Mus musculus: one gene and its partner. The protein of the gene in region 1 interacts with the protein of each later gene in a pairwise test. Links are inferred from orthologs where the notes say so. Each region holds a gene or a part of one and is shown in the gene's direction. Other genes may lie near its edges.

The links. The genes of interacting proteins can lie anywhere in the genome.
Region 2: the proteins of Ube2e1 (region 1) and Znrf1 interact in binary tests that used the Homo sapiens proteins (3 or more experiments, as listed by UniProt). The link is inferred for Mus musculus from reciprocal best matches to the Homo sapiens genes UBE2E1 and ZNRF1.

What each region holds. Positions count from the first base shown.
Region 1 is NC_000080.6:18,279,351-18,288,993, reverse strand, and holds the end of Ube2e1 (ubiquitin-conjugating enzyme E2 E1), read left to right. Parts: intron 1-3,725; coding exon 3,726-3,858; intron 3,859-4,572; coding exon 4,573-4,720; intron 4,721-4,990; exon of another isoform or gene 4,991-5,554; coding exon 5,555-5,652; 3' UTR 5,653-6,265; downstream 6,266-9,643. Other genes in the region: Nkiras1 (NF-kappa-B inhibitor-interacting Ras-like protein 1), read right to left, coding at 8,805-9,047. UniProt on the Homo sapiens protein: Accepts ubiquitin from the E1 complex and catalyzes its covalent attachment to other proteins. Catalyzes the covalent attachment of ISG15 to other proteins. Mediates the selective degradation of short-lived and abnormal proteins.
Region 2 is NC_000074.6:111,532,818-111,543,752, forward strand, and holds the start of Znrf1 (E3 ubiquitin-protein ligase ZNRF1), read left to right. Parts: upstream 1-3,822; 5' UTR 3,823-4,323; coding exon 4,324-4,747; exon of another isoform or gene 4,748-4,832; intron 4,833-5,484; exon of another isoform or gene 5,485-5,516; coding exon of another isoform or gene 5,517-5,649; intron 5,650-10,935. UniProt on the Homo sapiens protein: E3 ubiquitin-protein ligase that plays a role in different processes including cell differentiation, receptor recycling or regulation of inflammation. Mediates the ubiquitination of AKT1 and GLUL, thereby playing a role in neuron cells differentiation.

The sequences.
Region 1 (9,643 bases):
TGACAACTTGCCAGTATTTTTAACACCAGTTTTCAAGGATCTGATGCCCTCTTCTGATCTCTGCAGGCACTGAATGTATGTGGTGCACAGACATATATGCAGGGACAACACCTATACACATAAAAATAATAATAAAGTTTGTTTGAATTCCCTAGAGAAGGCTGAAATGGGACTCTGATGTAGAGTTTTTGCTTAGCTACCATGAAGAAAATGTGAGAGCCCCAGGATTTGGACCCATTTGAAATTTTCTTACTTCTTGTTAGACACTCCCTATTGGAGAGTGGAGTGTTGGTGTAATAAGAATTAGGAATTTGTAGGGATGCCATTCTTGACTGGGTACTGAAGCCAGTCTCCTTCCCTTTAGTGAGGAAGTTACAACTCCTTGGGCCCACTTTGTTCCAGTAAAGATGTCTAGATTTCCTGGACACCAGTGACGTGTGGTGTGGGAGCCAGGTCTTGTACAACCTGCTTAGGTTTGTCTTTGGTCCACACGTTCTTTCCAAGGGTTGGTGACCTTGTACCCAGCATTTTCATCTCCTCTTCCTGTACAGACTTTTACACAGATGCTCACTAAAACATGCCTCTCCCCTTAGTCCACCACACCGTAAAAGTCCTAGGTATGCTGAGTGCGTAGGTCTTATGGAGAGGGCAGTGTTGGAAGAAAGGATCTACCCTATAGCAAAAAAAGACAGGATAAGAAATGAATTGTGGGACCTGCTGTACTGGGTCAGGCATTTAGTTCCAGCATGCAGAGCCAGGTGAGTTTGAAGTGATCCTGATCTAGCAAGTTCCAAGACAGCCAGGGAACTGTCTCAAGGTGGGTGGGGAAAGTAAAAGAAAGGGATTTTTGAATAATGTTGTCAGGGAATATAGACAGTTGTGGACTGGATTTTGACTCTAACAGAACTAAGTACTTCCAGGATTGATCTCACTGCAGAGTTATAGTAAGAGTGGGGAAAGCTACAATAAAATGATAATTAAAAGCCAAACCCTAGGAAAAGATAATTTGTATTGCCAGTTACTGTCCTCTATAGCTGACCTTTAAACTTGAGTGTATTTAGGAATCATTTAGGGATCTAGTTAGAAAGTAAGTGTGTGCATTTCTAATAAAATCCCAAGGGGTGGTAATGTTGCTTACTTAGGGACCACACTAATAGCACAAATCCAACAGTAATAATAGCCATATGCATTTCTTTTTCTAAAGCAGGCACAGAGCAGTAAAACAATGATAGCTATTATTGTAACAAAACTACAACTCTTTCCTTTCTAAGCTTGACCTTGAGCCATGCTCTCCAAGGCAGGGCTTCCTGGCCTCAGCACTGCCGGGATCTGCAGCTGAAGTAATTGTTTTGTGCTTTGTAGAGTGTACTTCAGGGTGCTTAGTGCTGACCTCTACCTACCAGGTACTAGCAGTACCCGCCTTCCCATGTGTAACAATCCAGAAGTGACTTCAATGCAGGTGAAGGTTTGATGTTAGCCTCTGTGGCCAGTTGGCAGTCTTAACCCTCTTGCTCCCAAGGGGTGCCTTTTATGGAGTAGCAGTCAAATCATGAGTGCCAGAAAATCTTGGGCTCTGTTTTAAAACATTGTTAGCTCACATGGACATCAGAACCCTTTTCTCTACTCTCACTTCCTGCTGATGTCTACTTGTCTGCTTCTAGCTCAGCTTTCACGGTCCTTTATTTTTTTTCAATCCCAGCACTCTGGAGGTAGAGGTAAATGGATCTCAGATTCAAGGACAGCCTGGTCCACATGTGTATGGAAAGTTGGTTCTGTCCACCATGAGGGTTCTGTGGATTGAACTCGGGTCATCAGGTTTGGCAGCATATGCCTTTACCTGCTAAACCATCTTGCCAGCCTGACAATGAAGAGTTTTCTGTGGCAGTTTGGTAGAATAGTGTTGATTGAACTTTAAAGGCCTTAGCTCTCCTCTGTCACTTCGGGACAAGATATCCAAGACTTAAGTGCTAGCAGTTTTAGTGCAGTGAGGAACCATTTCTTAGTTTCCAGACAGCTGTCTTGTTGCACTAATCCTCGGCAGGTAAGAAGCAAATGTTCTGGTGGTGAGGTCTTATTTAGGACACTAAGCTTATACATAATGACTTCTACTTTCTTGACCTGACTGTCCCCAAAGGCCCAACCTCCTAGTGACCATCCCACTGGAAGCAAGGGACACAAACAGGCTAACTTTTGATAATTGAGAACCCATTCTGTTCTCAGTAAACGAAGAAGCAAAGGTAACTTTTTACTAGGGGGATCATAGTATATTCCTAGGAGAGAGCTGGTTAAGATCTTGTTGGAGGCTGGAGAGATCACTCAGCAGTTAAGAGCACCTGATTCTCTTCCAGAGGATCCAGTCAGTTTCCAGTATCTGTGTCAAGCAGCACACAACCACATGTCACTCCAGCTCCAGGGATCTCATGCCCTCTGACTTGTAAGAGCAGGCAGTGTGGGGGCGGGGGGGATACACAAATAGAAATAAATCATTTTTTAGTCTTTCCCTGTACCCTACCTTAGTAGTAAGAAATTACTACTACAAAGAGTATTACTACTCTATAGGTCTTAGAATCGGAGTGCAAGTTTTACTGCTGTTGCTAAGGTACTTGAATACAGAGCACTCTGGAAGCCAATGCAATATTTTAGAAGGATGGTATAGCCGAGTAAGGGTACAACCAAGTATATTGTATTTAACAAGAATGGGGTTTGGTTAATGGCTAATGAAAGTTCGTGTTTAGTTTAACACTGAAGTGAAAACTGATTACATCATTGACATTCGCCTCTCTCACTCACTAATTTTTATAAGGTAGGAAGTATAGGCACCAACTTGGAATTACCCATGACCCAGCATTTGTGAGGGCTGAGTGACTTTGAAGACAGTTTGAGCTACTCTGTCTCAGAGGGCCAGAAGATCTTCTAGCTAAAGCAAGTGTGTGTGTGTGTGTGTGTGTGTGTGTGTGTGTGTGTGTGTGTGTAGGCTGGCTGGAAGTCAAATGTTGTATGTCTTTATGTCAGTGTGGAGTTTAAAACTCTGCCAAGTACTTTAGTTAGGGCAAAAATTCTTGTTATTTACCAGAAATGATGCAGCAATGAGAAAACTTGTCACTGAATGAAAAATGAGGACATGATCACTCCTAGGTATGGTTAGATTTTATTGTAGATAAAGGGGAGAACAGGCAGAGACATTGGGAGAGTCCAGACTGAGCCAAGCTAACAGACTGAATGGAGTTATTGGGCATGGGGATGGGGAGGACAAGAAAAGGGGGGTGGGGCAAGCTGACCAAGAGTGAAACAAGAGCTCAAGATTGCGGTGTGGACCAAGAGAGCCATAGTCAAAATAGCTGAGCAGTACAATGAAGAGAAGGTGGGGGAAGGGAAGCAGAAGCCCTGTCCCCAGGTCTCACCCTGGCCTGGGTGAGAAGTGTTTGGAGAAGCCACAGGTACTGAGATTTGCCCTGAGTTTCTTTGAATCATAATAGTCAGCGGCTTATATTCTAAGAAACGAATCTTTAATTGATGTTTACCTTACGCTTGAGAGTTGAAGAAAGTTCATGTCTAGCTGCAGCTAGAGTGTTTAGAATGGGTCTGGTGTTCTTCTGTCCTGGCTCACTACCATATTCTTTATGAAGAGAACCCAGACATTAAACCAAAAGGATAAGGGGAGGGTTTTTTTCCCTTTTCTGATGCAATGTCACCATGTCTTTATCTGCTCCTGTATTATTTCACAGTGCTGGTCCCAAGGGTGACAACATCTATGAGTGGAGATCAACCATTCTGGGTCCTCCAGGGTCTGTGTATGAAGGTGGAGTATTCTTCCTTGACATTACTTTTACACCAGAGTATCCTTTCAAGCCTCCAAAGGTAAGGAGTCTCCAGTGTCTCCTGACATTAACTGTTCCTTGAGAGAGATCAAGTTTTCATTGTAATCACAAAAGCTAGAGTCTTCCATTTGTGTGCTGCTGTCCTGTTAAAGCATGTTAGTAACAGCTGTGTGTACTGCGGTACAGTCTAGATCTGTGTGGCAGAAGAGCTCAGCTTCCTTCTGTGTATTGTTTGCCAGTTTTAAGTGAATGTGATGACTGTTGGTTGGGTTGGCTCCTCAGTAGGCAATAGGCATTTCTAGATGTAAATGCTTAAAACTGTGCTAGTTATTGTCTAGCTTGTTAGATTTTACGCACACTCCGAAGCAGTGTATTACTTCCAGCTAACACAAGAGGTCAGCAAACAACTAACAATCCAAACTTAAGACATAGTCATATTTAGAACATTAAAATTAAGCCAGATGTTACTAGTAGCACATATCTGGAAACAGAAGCAGGCAGAGGGATCAAAAATTTGCAGCTACTTTGGGATATATGGTACCAGACTAGCCTGATCAAGAAAAGAAAAAATGAAAAAAAAAAAAAACCAACAAAAAAAAAAAAAAGAAAAGAAAAAATGTAAAGAAGTATCTGGCAGTGGGTACTGCTGTAAAATGAGATGGAGAATTGAGTGTGGCCTCACTTCAACAGCGTCTACCTGAAATGTCATAATGCCTCCTACATGAATGCTGCTTGACAACTGCCTTATTTTTAGGTTACATTTCGTACAAGAATTTATCACTGTAATATTAATAGCCAAGGAGTTATTTGCTTGGACATATTGAAAGACAACTGGAGCCCAGCCCTAACCATCTCGAAAGTCCTCCTTTCTATCTGCTCACTCCTTACAGACTGCAATCCTGGTAAGACGAATAGTCATCTGCACTGTATTTCTTACTAAATGTTTCTTGTTTTCCACATAAGCTAAGACCATTAAAGGACATTTTAATCAATTGTTTAGTGCACTAGTTGGAAAAGGCAGCTACTCTGAGCTCACTAAGGCTGGGTGCAGCTCTGCTGCCAGTTTTGATGAGGATTCACTGAGCACTTGACCACAGCCAGTGCTCACTTTAGAAAGAGGTATTTTTCTGCACTTGGTAATTTCAGAATTGTAATCTTATTGGGACTAATTGTTTTTAAAAAGAAAGAAATTATTTATTTTTCTGCTTAAATATACAAATTTAACTAGGCATTCCATTTTCAGAGAAACACATTTATTTGGAAGTCTGGGTTTTTGGCCTTTTCTAGGTATACATTATACAATAGATACTGCCAATTGCACCAGCCAGAGAGACTTCCCAATATCTACAGCTCTAATTGGTTGAACAAAGTTGGTCTTGGAGCCTTGGTCATACACATGGAGAACAAAGAGTGTCACTTGTTGAGAGAGAACTAAAGTAGAATAAGAAAATGAAGCCAAGGCCACTCCTCCCACCCTTCTAGATAAGATTAGATGAAGGGCTAAAACAGTGGCCCAGCTGAAGAGCAAGTGTTCTTGCAGAGGGGTTCAGCTTCCAGCACCCACTAGGGGCCCACATCCATAACCTGCAAACAGAGTACCCAAAAACATAAAATAAACCTTTTTAAAAACTGTTTTTAAAGATTAGAAGAAAACACCTTCTGACAGTGAGTGTTTCAGACATGGGCAAAGTATCTGATTTTCTTTCTCCAAAGTAACATACATGTTTTTCTTCCAGCTGACCCTTTGGTGGGAAGTATTGCCACTCAGTACATGACCAACAGAGCAGAACACGACAGAATGGCCAGACAGTGGACCAAGAGATACGCTACATAAACTGGGTTTTCAGTTCTTACATGACTTGTCTGTCACAGAAGAGAGCTGCTTATGATTTTGAAAGGGTGGGGGTGGGAGTTGGTAAAGAGTAGGCTATTTCTATATCAGATATTATTCAGTCTTACTTCCCAGGATTTTGTTGTAACTTAAGGTATCTTGCTACAGTAGACAAACTGGTAATAGCGACTTTTAGAGCTGAAACTTTGCAAGATTAGCTGACTTTTAGTACAAAAGAAAGCATGTGTAGATACTTGTGTTCCATTGATCAGCTTAAATTTGTATAGGTACATGTCATTTATGTAAAGTCCTATTTTCTTGTTCAAAAAAAATGGAATTTGTTTTTCCTTCTTAAAAGGAAACAATGGTATTTAACAAGTTTGCAAAGATGAGTTTGTTACCTCGTATATGTAAAATGGACACCTGGCTACAAGACACCATGTAGTTAATGTATTTTATCTTATATGCAAATTACTTCAAGGGTTGAATCACAATTTGTGGAAACCTGTAGTGAAATACCTTAAGCTGTTAACTGTAAGTGTGGAATAGGAATTGTTCAGTCAATTGGTTTAGACTTCTTACGTCTGCATTTGTGCTAATAAACAATATTAAGAACAACTACTGACCCTGCTGTGTTCATTTCCTCTCTGCAGTCTTTGCTTCTGAAAGCAGGTTAAGGAATACTTATCACTTAATATATGCCAGAGCTGATACTTACACAGCACATTTTGGAGATGTCTTTTTATGACTTTATTTATGTGTATAAATAAAGATACTGTAGCTGTCTTCAGACACACCAGAAGAGGGCATCAGATCCTTTAAAGATGGTTGTGGTTGCTGGCCATTGAACTCAGGACCTCTGGAAGAAGTAGTCAGTGCTCTTAACCCCTGAGCCATCTCTTTAGCCCCCTGGAGATATCTTAAAAACAATAAACAGCCAGGCAGTGGTGGTGCACGCCTTTAATCCCAGGCTTGGGAGGCAGAGGCAAGTGGATTTCTGAGTTCAAGGCCAGCCTGGTCTACAAAGTGAGTTCCAGGACAGCCAGGGCTACACAAAGAAACCCTGTCTCAAAAAACAAAACAGTGTAAGCCAGCTAAAGCGTCAAAGATATACTCAATGCCTGTTGCTCAAAGCATTTTCTGATCTGCAGATGAAGTGGCAGCAGACACAGGAGAAATGAGCCACTCTGGTGAGCTGGTGCTCATCTTGCAGAGCAGGCTCAGTGACTCAGTAGCACTGCTGCTGGCTATGGCTCCAGCCTCAGTCAAGTGAACGCTGAGCATAGTAGCATTCACACACCTTCATCCCAGGGTGATTGGATGCCAGAGGATTAAAGTTCAGAGTCATCCTCAGCTACACACTGGGTTTGAGACTAGCCTAGGCTACATGACACCCAGTCTCAAAAAGCATTTTAATTACATAAACAATTCCACGTATATTAAAGCACAAGATCTAAATGCAGCCAAAAGAAAAAACAGAAACACCAGGCAGGATCTATATAAAATATATCAGAAGACAAAGCTGAGAGAAAAGTACCTGGAAGGGCGGGCTGACTTAACCTGAGAGATAACCAAAAAAGTATGTTTTTTTAAAAAAAGAATTGGCCAAGACTGTGTATAATGGTACAGAACTTTAATCCCAGCTGAGGAGGACTTGAGATCAAGGCTAGCCTGGTCTACATAGTTCCAACCAGCCAGTGTTTAGTGGGATGAAGGGCAAACCGGGTGGCTGTAGTCCCAGTATTCAGGGTGTCTGGGCACAAAGATTCCAAGTTCAAAGCCTGGGTAATTTATTAAGACCCTTTCTCGCCCGGCAGTGGTGGCACACACCTTTAATCCCAGCACTTGGGAGGCAGAGGCAGGCTGATTCCTGAGTTCAAGGCCAGAATGAGTTCCAGGACAGCCAGAGCTACAGGGAAAAACCCTGTCTCGAAAAGCCAATAAACAAACAAACCCTTCCTTAAAAAGGCTAATGATACAGCTTGAGTTCAGTCTACAGTACCAACAGAAAAGCAAGCAGCAGCAATGCTCATGGTTGAAGGAAGGTTCCGTACTTAATGCATTCTTTACCTTGTTTCATATTTTGCTTTTCAGTTAAATGGTTAAAGATTATTTACAGTTGAAAACACTAAACAACTTATTTCCTAGTTCTTTGTATAGGGTTGGCAATCTTTTTTAAAAGATTTTCCATAAATTAAATTGTAAACTCAGATTAATATGGAAAACTAATGGTAACTCTATTTCTGGCATTTTATTGTATATGGCAAGGTTATTAGAAGAAAAGGGATGTTTCCCTGTTCTCCAGCCTAGCCATTTTCAAAAGACCCTCTAGTATTTAATTTTATCACCAGCACAGGCCTAGCTTATAGAATAAAATCAGGGCGCTGAATACAAAAGCACCTCGTCCTAACCCTAAGATCTTAATACTTAATAGAGCAAAACAAAACCACCACTCTTGTTCTGTTCAGCAAAGCCTCTGTAAAATGAGAATTTAGAGATCCAGATTGTTATTGGGACAATTTAAGTACACAAAGCAATTGCCAAGCTCTATAATCTTAGATGATTAACCTTAGATATTATTCTATGTGTATGAGTGATTTTCTCTGCTTGTATATATGAGCACTAAGTGTATGAAATGCCTGAAGAAACCAAGAGAAGACACTGGATCCCTTGGAATCTGTTAAAGGTGCTACAAGTTCTGCAAGGCGTCGGCCTTACCTGCTGAGCAATCTCTCTAGCTCTGTGTAAGACAAGAGTTCTGGGCCTGTGACTCAGTGGGGAAGGCGCTTTGCCAAGCGAGCCCAGCCACCCCTGTTATTCATGCGTTTATGGAAGGATAAGGCATTTGCATAAAATTACAATGAGTATGAGAGTCCTGACAAGCTGGAAGAGTTCCCATGGTATATTGCATACTCTAAATTTTATTTTGCTATTATTGACAAGTGCAGAATAAATAACAAAATAAGAACAGGTTTCAAATAAAGGCAAAAAATAATGTCCAACAGCAATAAACTAGGTTAATTATAAAGTAATTAACTTAATTAGAAAGTGCATTAAATTACCACTTAGGGGTTCCATTAGGCCCAGAGGTGATCTGAGAAGGGCCACGTTAAATCGTAACCTCATGCCAGGCTACAGACATTTCAAGGCTTGACTCAGTTTTCGGGATTGGAGTTCCCTTTGTTTTTCCTCCCAGGCAAAGGGAAGCTGGATTTGCTCTGGGGCTGAGAAAGCTTGCTGGCCAGTAAAGTGAAGGGTTCAATCAGTGTCCTCCGGTCTGTCACTGTCACCTCCCACAGCTTGACTTTCTCACTTCTTGCCCACTGTTGTGCCACGTCAGCATCCACCTGTCTCTGCTCAGAAAGGTCCAGTTTGTTTCCTAACACAACGATTGCCACCTGGACAAAAAATGACCAAAGACCACAATAGTAACCATCCATAGCAGCTTACAGGAAAACTGTATAAGTAATTACTGCTCTTCCATTTAGCAAACTGCTTTGTTTAGATGATGTTGAGGAAACGAAAGCAGTAAACTCAGCTGCTCTGGAGTTGAACTAGGAAGATTGCAAGTTCAAGACCAGTCTGGGCAATCTAGTTAAACCTTGTCTAAAAAGTTGGGCAAGTACAGAACTTACCTACCAAGTATGAAGCCTTAATACTCGGCTGTCAGGGGAACCCTCAGATGTGACAAATATGACAACATGGCTCTCTTCTGGCCTCCACAGGCACCTGCACTCGTGCATATAATTCCTCCCACCTCCCCACACAGACATAATTAAAATTAAGTTTTTAACATATTTTTTAAAAGATGGCCAATCAGCCAGGCAGGCATGGTGGTGTACACCTTTAATCCTAGAACTTGGGAGGCAGAGGCAGGACGATCTCTCTGAGTTTGAGGCCAGCCTGGTCTACAGAGTTCCAGGACAGCCAGGGCTATATAGAGAAACCCTGTCTCAAAAAAAAAAAAACAAAAACAAAAACAAAAACAAAAACA
Region 2 (10,935 bases), on another chromosome or scaffold:
ATCTGGAAAAGCAAGCCAGAGGGCTGGAGAGATGATGGCTCAATGGTTAAGAGCACTGACTGCTCTTCCAGAGGTCCTGAGTTCAATTCCCAGCAACCACATGGTGGCTCACAACCATCTGTAATGGGCTCCAATGCCCTCTTCTGGAGAGCAACAGTGTATTCATATACCTAAAATAAATAATTAAAAAAAAAAAAAAAAGGCAAGAGTTGTGATTATGGAAGACACCCTACCTGTATCTTCTAGTTTCCACATGCTTGTGTATTCCTTCCCACATAAACAGGTACACACACACACACACACACACACACACACACACACACACACACCAAGTAATGAGGCTGTGCACATTCCTGTATAAGTTCTTTTATGAACCTATGTTTCATTTTCTTAGAAATATACCTAAAAGCCAGGTATACCAGAACTTGGGAGGCAGAGGCAGGTGGATCTCTGAGTTTGAGGCCAGCCTGGTCTACAAAGTGAGTTCCAGGACAGTCAGGACTATACAGAGAAACCCTGTCTCAAAAAACCAAAAAAAGAAAAAGGAAAAAAAAACCCTAAAAACTAATACATATATACATATACACATACAAGCACATTATATATACACACATTATATATATACACACACACATATTTATATATATATAATTACACAAACACACACATACCTCTAAGAATGAATTGGCTGGATCTTATTGTAGCTGTTTCCCACCCCCCACCCCCCACCCCCTTTGGAGACAGAATCTCACTGTGTAGCCCTGGCTGGACTGAAACTATGTAGCCCAGGCTGGCCTTAAGCACAGCCAGCCTCCTGCCTCTGTCTCCCTACTGCTGACATAAAAGATGTGAGCCTGTCACACTCAGCTTGTTTAATCTTCTTGAGGAACTGCCAGGCAACTTTCCAAAACAATCAACCATTTAACATTGCCAGCAGGAAGGTTGGCGGGTCTGATCTCTCCGCAGCGGTTACCATCTTCCTCTGATCATAGCCATTCAAGAGGGCACAAAATGCTTGTTCTGAAGGTTATGAGAAAGGGAACGCCAACTGTCTTGTTCACTGTATGCTAGAATTTAGGAGAGTCTGGAACTTCTCAGTTTTAAATATTTTATTAGGGAATGGGTTATAGCTCACTAGTAGTGTACTTGCCCAGCATATATGAAGCCCTAGCTTTAATCTCCAGCACCTGAGTTGGGGGATAACTATATATGCATACATACACACACATACACACATGTGTGTAGTGAATAAGATGAAAACAACTTTGTTAAGATGGTTATAACGTATTTTTCAAAAGTAGATGTGTCAAGAATCTAGGTTTTTTTTTTTCTGTTTTCTGATTACCATAGTCTTTCTTCTGAGAAAAAAAAAATAGATGTTTCCTTTTTACAGACTGATTTTTATTTGTATGTGTATATGTCTACATGAGTGAGTGCTACCTATGTGCGGGTGCCAATGGAAACCAAAAGAGGTCATCTGATTTCTTGGAAATGATGCTTCAAATCAGACTCAGGTCCTCTGCAAGAGCAACGTACTTTCTTCTGAGTCATCCCTCCAGCCTCTAGTAGTTTTTAAAATTTTCTTCAGATCACTCAGTTCAGTTTTAGAAGTGCACACATTCCTGATTTAGACACAGATAATATTCTGGATATTATCTCAGTGTGTTTGTTTTATTTTTTTTAAAGATTTATTTATTACATGTAAGTACACTGTAGCTGTCTTCAGACACACCAGAAGAGAGCGTCAGATCTCGTTACAGATGGTTGTGAGCCACCACGTGGTTGCTAGGATTTGAACTCTGGATCTTCGGAAGAGCAATCGGGTGCTCTTACCCACTGAGCCATCTCACCAACCCTTACGTTTATTTTTATAAAATTTTATTTACTAATTTTTTTTTCAAGACAGGGTTTCTTTGTATAGCCCTGGCTGTCCTGGAACTCACTTTGTAGACCAGGCTGGTCTGGAACTCAAAAATCCGCCTGCCTCTGGCTCCCAAGTGCTGGGATTAAAGGCATGTGCCACCATGCCCGGCTACTAATTTTTTTTTATATATGAATGACTGTATGTATGCATGTATCATGCCTCTGGGGTTATGGATGGCTGTGAATCACCACATAGGTGCTTGGGATGAACCTGGGGCCTCTCTAAGAACAAACGCTCTTAACCCCTGTGCCAACTCTCCAGCCCCTAGATACACACACGCAATTTGGTTTTTTGTAACAGAGTTTCTGTGTGGCCTTAGCTGTACTGGAACTTGGTTTGTAGACCAGGCTGGCATGGAATTCAGAGATTGTCCTGCCTCTACCTCTCGAGTGGTGGGATTAAGGTGAGCACCACAGCCATGAAAATTTTTGCATTGGCTTTTCTTTTTCTTTTCTTTTCTTTTCTTTTTTTTTTCGAGACAGGGTTTCTCTGTATAGCCTTGGCTGTCCTGGAACTCACTCTGTAGACCAGGCTGGCCTCGAACTCAGAAATCCTCCTGTCTCTGCCTCCCAAGTGCTGGGATTAAAGGCATAGGCCACCACTGCCCAGCTTGTTCGAAGCTTTTAGCTCACCCCCAGCACTCTGTGCTTGCAAACAACCATCTTTCTGTGGCCTTCCAGGCTAGTCACACTGGAAGAGACAAGTCTATTAGCCCCTTTAAATCTCCCTCCAATTCCATTTTCGGAAGCACGGAGCCCACTTGACAGAGTGACAAGAGAAGGTCAGGTTAGTGACTGGGTGATGCTTACGGTGCTCAGAGCTGAGCACTTGAAAAATTATTTGCTCAAAGAATAAGCAAAGTGAAAATATGAGAAAGACTGGGACTGACCTGGCAAGGTGAGTCTCTGTTGCAAAATGCAATTTGGTCAACAAATATTTATTGAGTACTGTGCCCTTGCCTTGTGGCTCTATGTCAAAATATGGCTCTATGTCAAAATACATGATAAACAAAACAGCAATCGGCCTTGGGCAAGGAGTTTCTAAAACAGCTTTCCCGCTGCATGGTTCTTACTTTTTTTTTTTTTTTAATCCACCTATTGATTTTGAGGATTATATTCTAGCCTAAGGAATCGATTCAGACCCAAATAGTTGGTTCTGATCTAACGACAGCAAAGTCTAGGCGCCACTGGGGCACTGTTGTATCTCCTAACAGCTAATCCCAAATGTGTTTGGGTCCAAGCTGATTCCCTCCTCCCCCCCCCCCCCCGCCCCCCATGCTAAACTTCCTAAGGTTGGCTGGGGTCCTTGGATGGAGAACCTCCAAACGAATGGACAGCATATCCACCAGAGGGTGCTGTGAGGGCAGGTCTGTGGCGGGAGGGGAGCTCCCCCAGTGACCCTTCAAACCCAGGTAGGCTTTATTAGTTGGTTTTTCTTTCTTCTCGGTGTTTCCTTCCTACCCGCTAAAACCGTCGTTACCCCTCCCCCCACTCAGGGTCTCGTTTTGAAGACATTGATTCGACTTTCGCCGCGACTCCAGCAGAGCTGTGATCCAGAGGAAGTCTGACCTCTGTCGCAGACGCCCGGCGGCTGGAGACGTCCTGTCCCTGGACCGCCCGGGGCGCAGGCGGTAGGTGGGTGGGGACCTCCAAGGCCGCAGCTCGCTGCTGCGCCGCAGGGGCCGCGAAGGGGTTAACCCGGCGGGGGGGGGGGTGCGGGAGGAGGGAGGGGGCGCGGGCCGCGCGTGCGCTCTGCCGCCCTCCATTGTCTCCACGGCGGCGAGGAGCGCCGGCGAGCGCAGCCCGGGACGGAGCGGGGCGGTGCGGCTGGCTGGCGGGGCCGGCGGCGGCTGGAGCCGGAGCGCGACGCCACGCGACCGCGGCTTCCAGAGCTCCGCCTGGCTGCCCCACCGCCGCGAGCCCTCCCGAAGCCTGGAGGAGTGAGGGCCGCCGGCGCGGGCTGAGGAGTCCTGAGACGGGGGACGCGAACGGCGCGGCGCCCGGAGCCTCCGCCGCTTCCTGCTGCGGGCGAGCGGCCTCCTCCGGCTCCTCCCTCCCTTCGCTGCGGCTCCTTAGGCTCCGGAGCCCGGGGGCGGCCTGTGGCGCGAGGCGCCGGCTCTGGACCGCGCTTCTTCGGACCTTAAGGGGAACATGCATTCGGCTTGGACAGTTTGAAATTCTTAGTTTGGGGTCCCCGCTCGCTTGCTTTTTCCACCCCGCGGATTTTTTTTGAGGATTCCCCCCCTCACCTTTTTTCATTTTTCTCCCCTCGGGGCTCTTTTGTGACTCTCCCCAACCCCAACCCTCCGCCTTTATGTTCGCCCAGACCTCCACCCGCTTCTGAGTAGTGGGGGAGGGTTTCAGCCTCCACGTTCCCGCCCCACCGGGGCCCCGGCGAACATGGGGGGCAAGCAGAGCACGGCGGCCCGCTCTCGGGGCCCCTTCCCGGGGGTCTCTACGGATGACAGCGCCGTGCCGCCGCCGGGAGGGGCGCCCCACTTTGGGCACTACCGGACGGGCGGCGGGGCGATGGGGCTGCGCAGCCGCTCGGTCAGCTCGGTGGCGGGCATGGGCATGGACCCCAGCACGGCCGGAGGGGTGCCCTTTAGTCTCTACACCCCCGCCTCCCGCGGGACCGGCGACTCCGAGAGGGCGCCGGGCGGCGGAGGGTCCACGTCGGACTCCACCTATGCCCACGGCAATGGTTACCAAGAGACCGGCGGCGGTCACCATAGAGACGGGATGCTGTACCTGGGCTCCCGAGCCTCGCTGGCGGATGCTCTACCTCTGCACATCGCACCCAGGTGGTTCAGCTCGCACAGTGGTGAGTCCGCGGGTGACGGAGGCCTTGAAGGGTGGAGTGCAAGGGAGGGCGCGCCGGGGCGCCCGAAACCTCTTAATGTGCTAAGGTATGGGTATGAAGCTAACTCCTGCCCTTCCCCTGGTTCCTTCCATGTCAGAGGATGAATAGGATCAAATAAGATAACTACTGCCTAGGGGGAAAGCTGCCTACTAGGCGTGTGGAGCCGGGTACCTTAGGACTGCAGGCATGTGTTCACTTGTGGATGGCTGAGTGAAACCTGCCTATTGAGGTCGCATTTATTAGCGTCATGATCCTCAAAGGTCTTCTTGTCTGAGACTCTTCATTTCTGCCGCTGCAGCATGGTACCTACCTTTCTGGTTAAGGAGGTAGTGTCTCCTAAACAAAGAGTGAGAAAAGAAATAAAACTAGGGGCGAGTGATTCTTGGATTAGGGTTCTTATTCTCGCTAGGAAAGGGAGGTGGTTTGTTTTTCCACCCGACTGGTTTGCTGTATCAATTGTTTAAAATGGAACAGGAGGCTGGCTTAGACAGGTGTGGTCTGCTATGTGGAAAGCCTCCGTCTTTGGGTTTGCAGGACCAGGATTCTGGTCTGCATGCAGTAGATTTGGCTCAGGGATTCTCACATCCCTCCATCTTTTTTCCCCTGCTCCACGATAAGTGCTTGTTCTTCCCGTGATTGTGCATCTTTTTTTTTTTTTTTCTTTTCATAGAGCCCAGGAGAGGTGGGGTGGTATTGCCCCACAGCTGGCACATGACTAGGGAAGAGGAAGATGGAAAGGATGGAGATGAACTCATTCTGTGCACTTCTGGTGACAGGCCAGGAAAAGGCTGGAGGGGGATTTCCCAGGCCCTGGCTGGTGGTAGGGCAGCAAAGGCCTGGCAGAGACTTCTACAGGAAAACAGGTCTGTCTGCTTGGCTGTCCTGAGAAGCCAGGGCAGGCCTCTAGAAAACTGGTCAAAAGGGGTGTGGGGTTGCTGCTTGTTAACTACCAGTCTGAGTGAAGCAGTTAAGTATTCAGACTCTTGTGCCTGAACTGGGCAATTTTTGTTGCTGTGTAGGAGAAATCATTCTCCTGTCCTCAGGGTCCATTATGGAGGGCTTACCTGTGAGGTCACTGTTGTAGCTCATTGCAAAACAAGGTAGGGTTTGTTTTGTCTTGTTTGGTTTTGTATCTTTCCTTCTTTTGATCAATTCCATAATTTTTGAAGTAACTTTGGTGGGTTATAGTGGCTGGCTTAGAGCTTCTTTGACTTTAACTAAAATGCTGGACATCAGACACAAGGCATGTCTGCTTTTGGTACCCTCTAGTCATTTGGTCTGTGTTGGGCATGTTGGAATTAATAATCTTCCCTAAATAGTTGAGTCCAGAAGTCTCAGCTTTATTTCGAGACGATTATGAGTACACTTGTAAGTGAACTGTTATTGGCATGCTTTTAAAACAATTTTGAGTGCAGCAAGCAAATACCTTTATAAAAGCTTATATGGGGAGGGAGAAAAGGAGTTATCGTTTTGGTAAGATTTCTTAAGTCTGTCTCTTAATAGAAACTTCATTATCCTTGTTCTATTGTCAGGTTCTCTGATAGAGTTATGAACTTACAACTGAGTTCCAATATCTCACACTCTCCAGATATGAAGGCTTAGTGTTCTCCCCACCATCTTACTCCCACCCAGTCACGGGAGTAGGGAGTCCCACTGAGTGATGGGAATACAAGAAAAGTTAGAGTCATCCTTTGGGTGTCTTTAAAGTGTACGTGGCAGGCTCTTGTTAACATTATAGGTAATATTTGTATATATTTACTTATTTTTAGTATATAGAACCACCTGTGCTTTTTGCAAGACTCTGGGCCTATTGAATGCTCCTGGCATCCTGCAGTTCACCTCATACTGCCTCTGAATTCCCAAATGGCTTTTATTGGGGTGGGTGTACCAGTCTGACTGTGAGCTGCCTGTGCTGTTCAGCAGAGGTGAGCATTCATTTGTGTCAGTGTTAGAACAGGCCGTGGAATTTTCTGGGGCATCCTTTTCTCTTGTTCTTGGCTGCAAGGAGAGACGCTGCTGTTTCGCTGCTGTCTCGGCTGTGGAGCCTTGGAGTTAGGTCTGAGCAGCTTTTGCTCTTGTGTAAGATTCCAAAGGTGGGGCTTTCAGTGTTTGACTGACTGCGGGCCTGGAAACTGGTACAGTGTTAGTACTTGGGTTTTCAAGGTGCTTTGGTGACTCCTCACAAGCAGAGAGCTGTCATTAAAGAAATAAGTCAAAGCTGTGGGCTTGTGCTGTGTTCCAAAGTAGAATACTGAGGGCTTCCAGTTTTAGGTCCTCTGCTGAGTAACTTTGACCTTGGACAAGACACAGCACTTTTCTCTAGGCTCATCTTTGTTATTTTAAAAATAGATGTGGTAATCCTCCGCGGTGGCAGCTTGTAACGGTTGTTCTCTAAACCCCAGGAGAGGATATTCTGCAATTGCGCTTGGCTTCCGTGCTTCTGTGTCCCTGTGCCTTCCTCATGGCTGTGACCCTCGAATACTGAGCTCCTTAGGACAGAAATGCTAGCTCTTACTTTCTTCACATAGATAGCTCCTTTGAACCCTTTAGGACTCAACAGAGATTTTTTTCCTCAGTGGGCACTCTTAACATCTGACTTTCTTTTTTTTTTTTTTTTTTTTTTTTGCATGTTTTATAAGCATTTATCTGCTGACTTATTTTTCTTCTTGTAGTGTGACTAAGTTTTCATTTCTGGAAGGCCAGGACCAGCTCTTGAGTGCTGCTGTAACGCTTACACTGCTCAAGTATTTGCTGGATGAAAGAACTTGAATGGCTTATGTGCATCGTCTTATTCATTACTGTAACTCTACTCCTAGTTTACAGGGGAGGTGAGGAGCCCAGGCAGCTGGCTGTAGTTAGCAGAGGTGAGACTGGAGTGCAGGCCCAACAGTGCCAGAACACTGGCTCTTTTTATCGATTACTTTGTTTTGTTTATGTGATTATTTATTGTTTGTTTTGAGACAGTGTCTTAGTATGTAATCTCAGTTGGCCTCAAACTTATTTAATACAGGTTGGCTTTGAACTTTTAATCCTTAGTTTTCATCTTCTGCAATGTTTCAGTTATAGGTATATGTTGCTTATGTTCAACTGTGCTCTAAGACACCACTCTGGCTCCCTTTTTTTTTGTCTGTTTCCAGGAAATAGTACCCTGGAAACGTAACTAGCCACTAAGTGGGAAGAAGGGTAGGCTCATGATAAAGGGCCTGACTCTTAACCTTGAGCAGATAGATGTGTAGTTCCAGGCTTTAGTACATCTTCATCTGTAGATGTCTGTCCTCGGAGTCCTGCGGTCATTGGTGAGGGTCTTTTGTGACAGTATACACCAAAGCAAAAGGCAAAGGGAATCCAAGTGGAACACTGATGGCCTTGTGGGGACAAGGCTATTGTTCCTGCCTTCTCTGTCTCCTTAGAACTCATAGACAGAGCTCCACACGAGAATAAGAACATAGGCCCCAGCTGGAGGCCCTGCTGTCTGGAGTCTCTGCCTTGTATCCTGTTCTCCTATCATTGCCAGGGGAGAAATCCTTTGAGAAGCATGTGCAGCCCTTTCCTTCCACCGGACAGGTGCTGGGCTTGTCCTGAGGTGATTCTGTCTGTGGCTTTTGGTTTTCTGATGCTAAAGGCCTGGCTGGCCATTCTTTTTTGTAGTAGTCCTGTTAACCTTGGAGACGGGGTTTCCAAATGTGGAGAGGAAACATGAAGTATCCAATCCACCTGTGAGGTGAGCTTGCTGTGTTCTACTGTAAAATGGGGTGTGGCTGGCTACTGGGGTGCGGCTGGCTACAGGGGTGGTGTTTGTTTGGTCTGGCTTCTTAGTCATGTTTGTGTATACATATGTATATTCAAAAAAATCCAAATTTGTTTTGTATTTTAACCAACTCACCGACTAGGGCTAAGATGGAGTGACTTAAAAAAGGGTCTGAATATGCTAGCAGCATGTCTCCTGGGTTCTAGTTTGCTGTCACACTAGGATTTCCAAACTTTTTTCTAGTCTTAAATAGTGAGGAACAGTTGTCAAATCTATTTGAGTGGCTCAGGAAGTCTTTGTGTCTCACTGTAGGTATGCTAGAGGTAATGGGCCTTTTTGAGTCTTCTGAAAAAGGAAAAGCATTCTGTGGTCTCTAAAAAGCGAGATCCATTCCCTGCCCAGCTCTGCAAAAAAGTTCCAGCCTTAATGAAGACTTGATTTTTAATGTAGAATTTTTAGTTTTCTATTACCACAAGGGGCTTATTTTCCATGCCTCCTTCAGGCAAAGATAATTTCCTAAGGGTCGTAGTTAACTATTCCCCATGAGATCTGAAAGGCATTGCAAGCAACAGTGGTTAAATTGTTAACATGGTTGTTTTATGGATGTGTATATTTTAATATTAAACAAAGACTCCTCTCCAACTATGTCACAAGGAATGCTGTAAGCCAGGCCACCCTTAACCAAAGAAAGAGCACTCCTCCATTCTTGAAGGACCATGCCACATATTTTACAACTGTGATGATATTCCACCCAGGCTCAATGGGCACTGAACTCAGAATACCCAGTTATAGCCAGCAGCGTGGCTCAGCAGAGAAGGGCACTGGCCCCCTAGCTTGATGAGTTGAGTTCAGTCCCCAGGACCCACTTGGTGGGAGGAGAGAACCAACTCCCCCAATTCTCCTCTGGCCTCCACACGCCCATAGACAGGGCGCACACACACACACAATAAAAATAAAAACTTGTCATAGTTTCAAATTTGGCAGAAAAAAACATCATAGGGAACCAGTGTTGCCCTAAGAGGGATGTTGGTCCCACTCTTATTGAACCTTAAGCTAGGTTAATGATAGCAGGCCTGAGGTTGAGGTACTGGACACTTTTTTTTTTTTTTTTTTTTTTTGGTTTTTCGAGACAGGGTTTCTCTGTGTTGCCCTGGCTGTCCTGGAACTCACTCTTTACACCAGGCTGGCCTAGAACTCAGAAATCCACCTGCCTCTGCATCCCCAGTGCTGGGATTAAAGGCGTGTGCCACCACGCCCGGCTGGTACTGGATTCTTGAAGCAAGCTCCAAACCTGACTCCTAAACTTAGTCTTTAGAATAATAGATGAGTTTAGATTTTTAGTCATTTTTCCCCCTAAGCTTTGCTGTGCCTCAGTCTAAATCAAATGGTTGGTTCTTAGCATCTGAACATTATAATAGGCTTAGGTACTGAAAGGGGCTTCTCAGACGTAGCTTCTGTCCTTCTCAATCTTCTGTTCATAAGCACCGGGCTTATCACTGGGTGGGTGCGATGGCACTCGGGAAGCAGAGGCAGGCAGATCTCAGAATTAATGGGCCAGCCTGGTTCACAAAGTGAGTTCCAGGACAGCCAGGGCTACACAGAGAAACCCTGTCTTGAAAAACCAAAGTGGCGGGAGTGGGGGTGGGGGTGGGGGGGAGGGAGGAAAAACCAGGTTTATCTTTGTATCCTGTCTCGGAAGTGCTGATTGGATAGCAGTGAAGACCAGTGGGCAGGTGGAGGTTTATAAGGACCCAAGTTTCATCCTGAATCAGCTGCTCGGATGGCTTCTAAACGGATGCGGCAGTTCACCTTGCTGTCTCCCTGTCTTCGTTAGCCTTGGGAGGCAAGCTAAAGGGTGAAGTCACAGTATCTCGCTATTTCTATAACTCAAAGTTAGGGGGGACATGATAAGGATTTACAGTGCACTTTTTGGACAACAGAAATGAAACAGACACAATCAGGAGCCTCTGATGAGTGAGGGCTCCCGAGTAGCCTTGCTGACTGCCTGGTGGTTTTTAGGGAGCCTCATAGCAATGCTGATGACAGGACCCTACTCCCAGAATTCAGTGGTGCTGAGGAGACTAAACAGATCCCGAGAGTACAGTTAGAACATCTACATTTGGAATTCAGCTTGTCATGAATTCCCTTTCTTCCTTCTGAAACAGAAAGAACTTGGTGGGTAGTTTGTTTGTTTGTTTGTTTTGGTGCATCCATTGTTTTTGATACTGTTAAGCTAGTTGGGTATTTTCTAGAGGATCCATACAAGTGTCTTTCATCAGCAAGAGCATTCTTCACTGGTGTTTTTGTTTTTGTTTTGTTTTGTTTTGTTTTTCCACATGGAATTAAGCATTTGTCTCCTACATAAAGGCCTAAGCCAGTGTGCCATGGTCTTGACAACTGA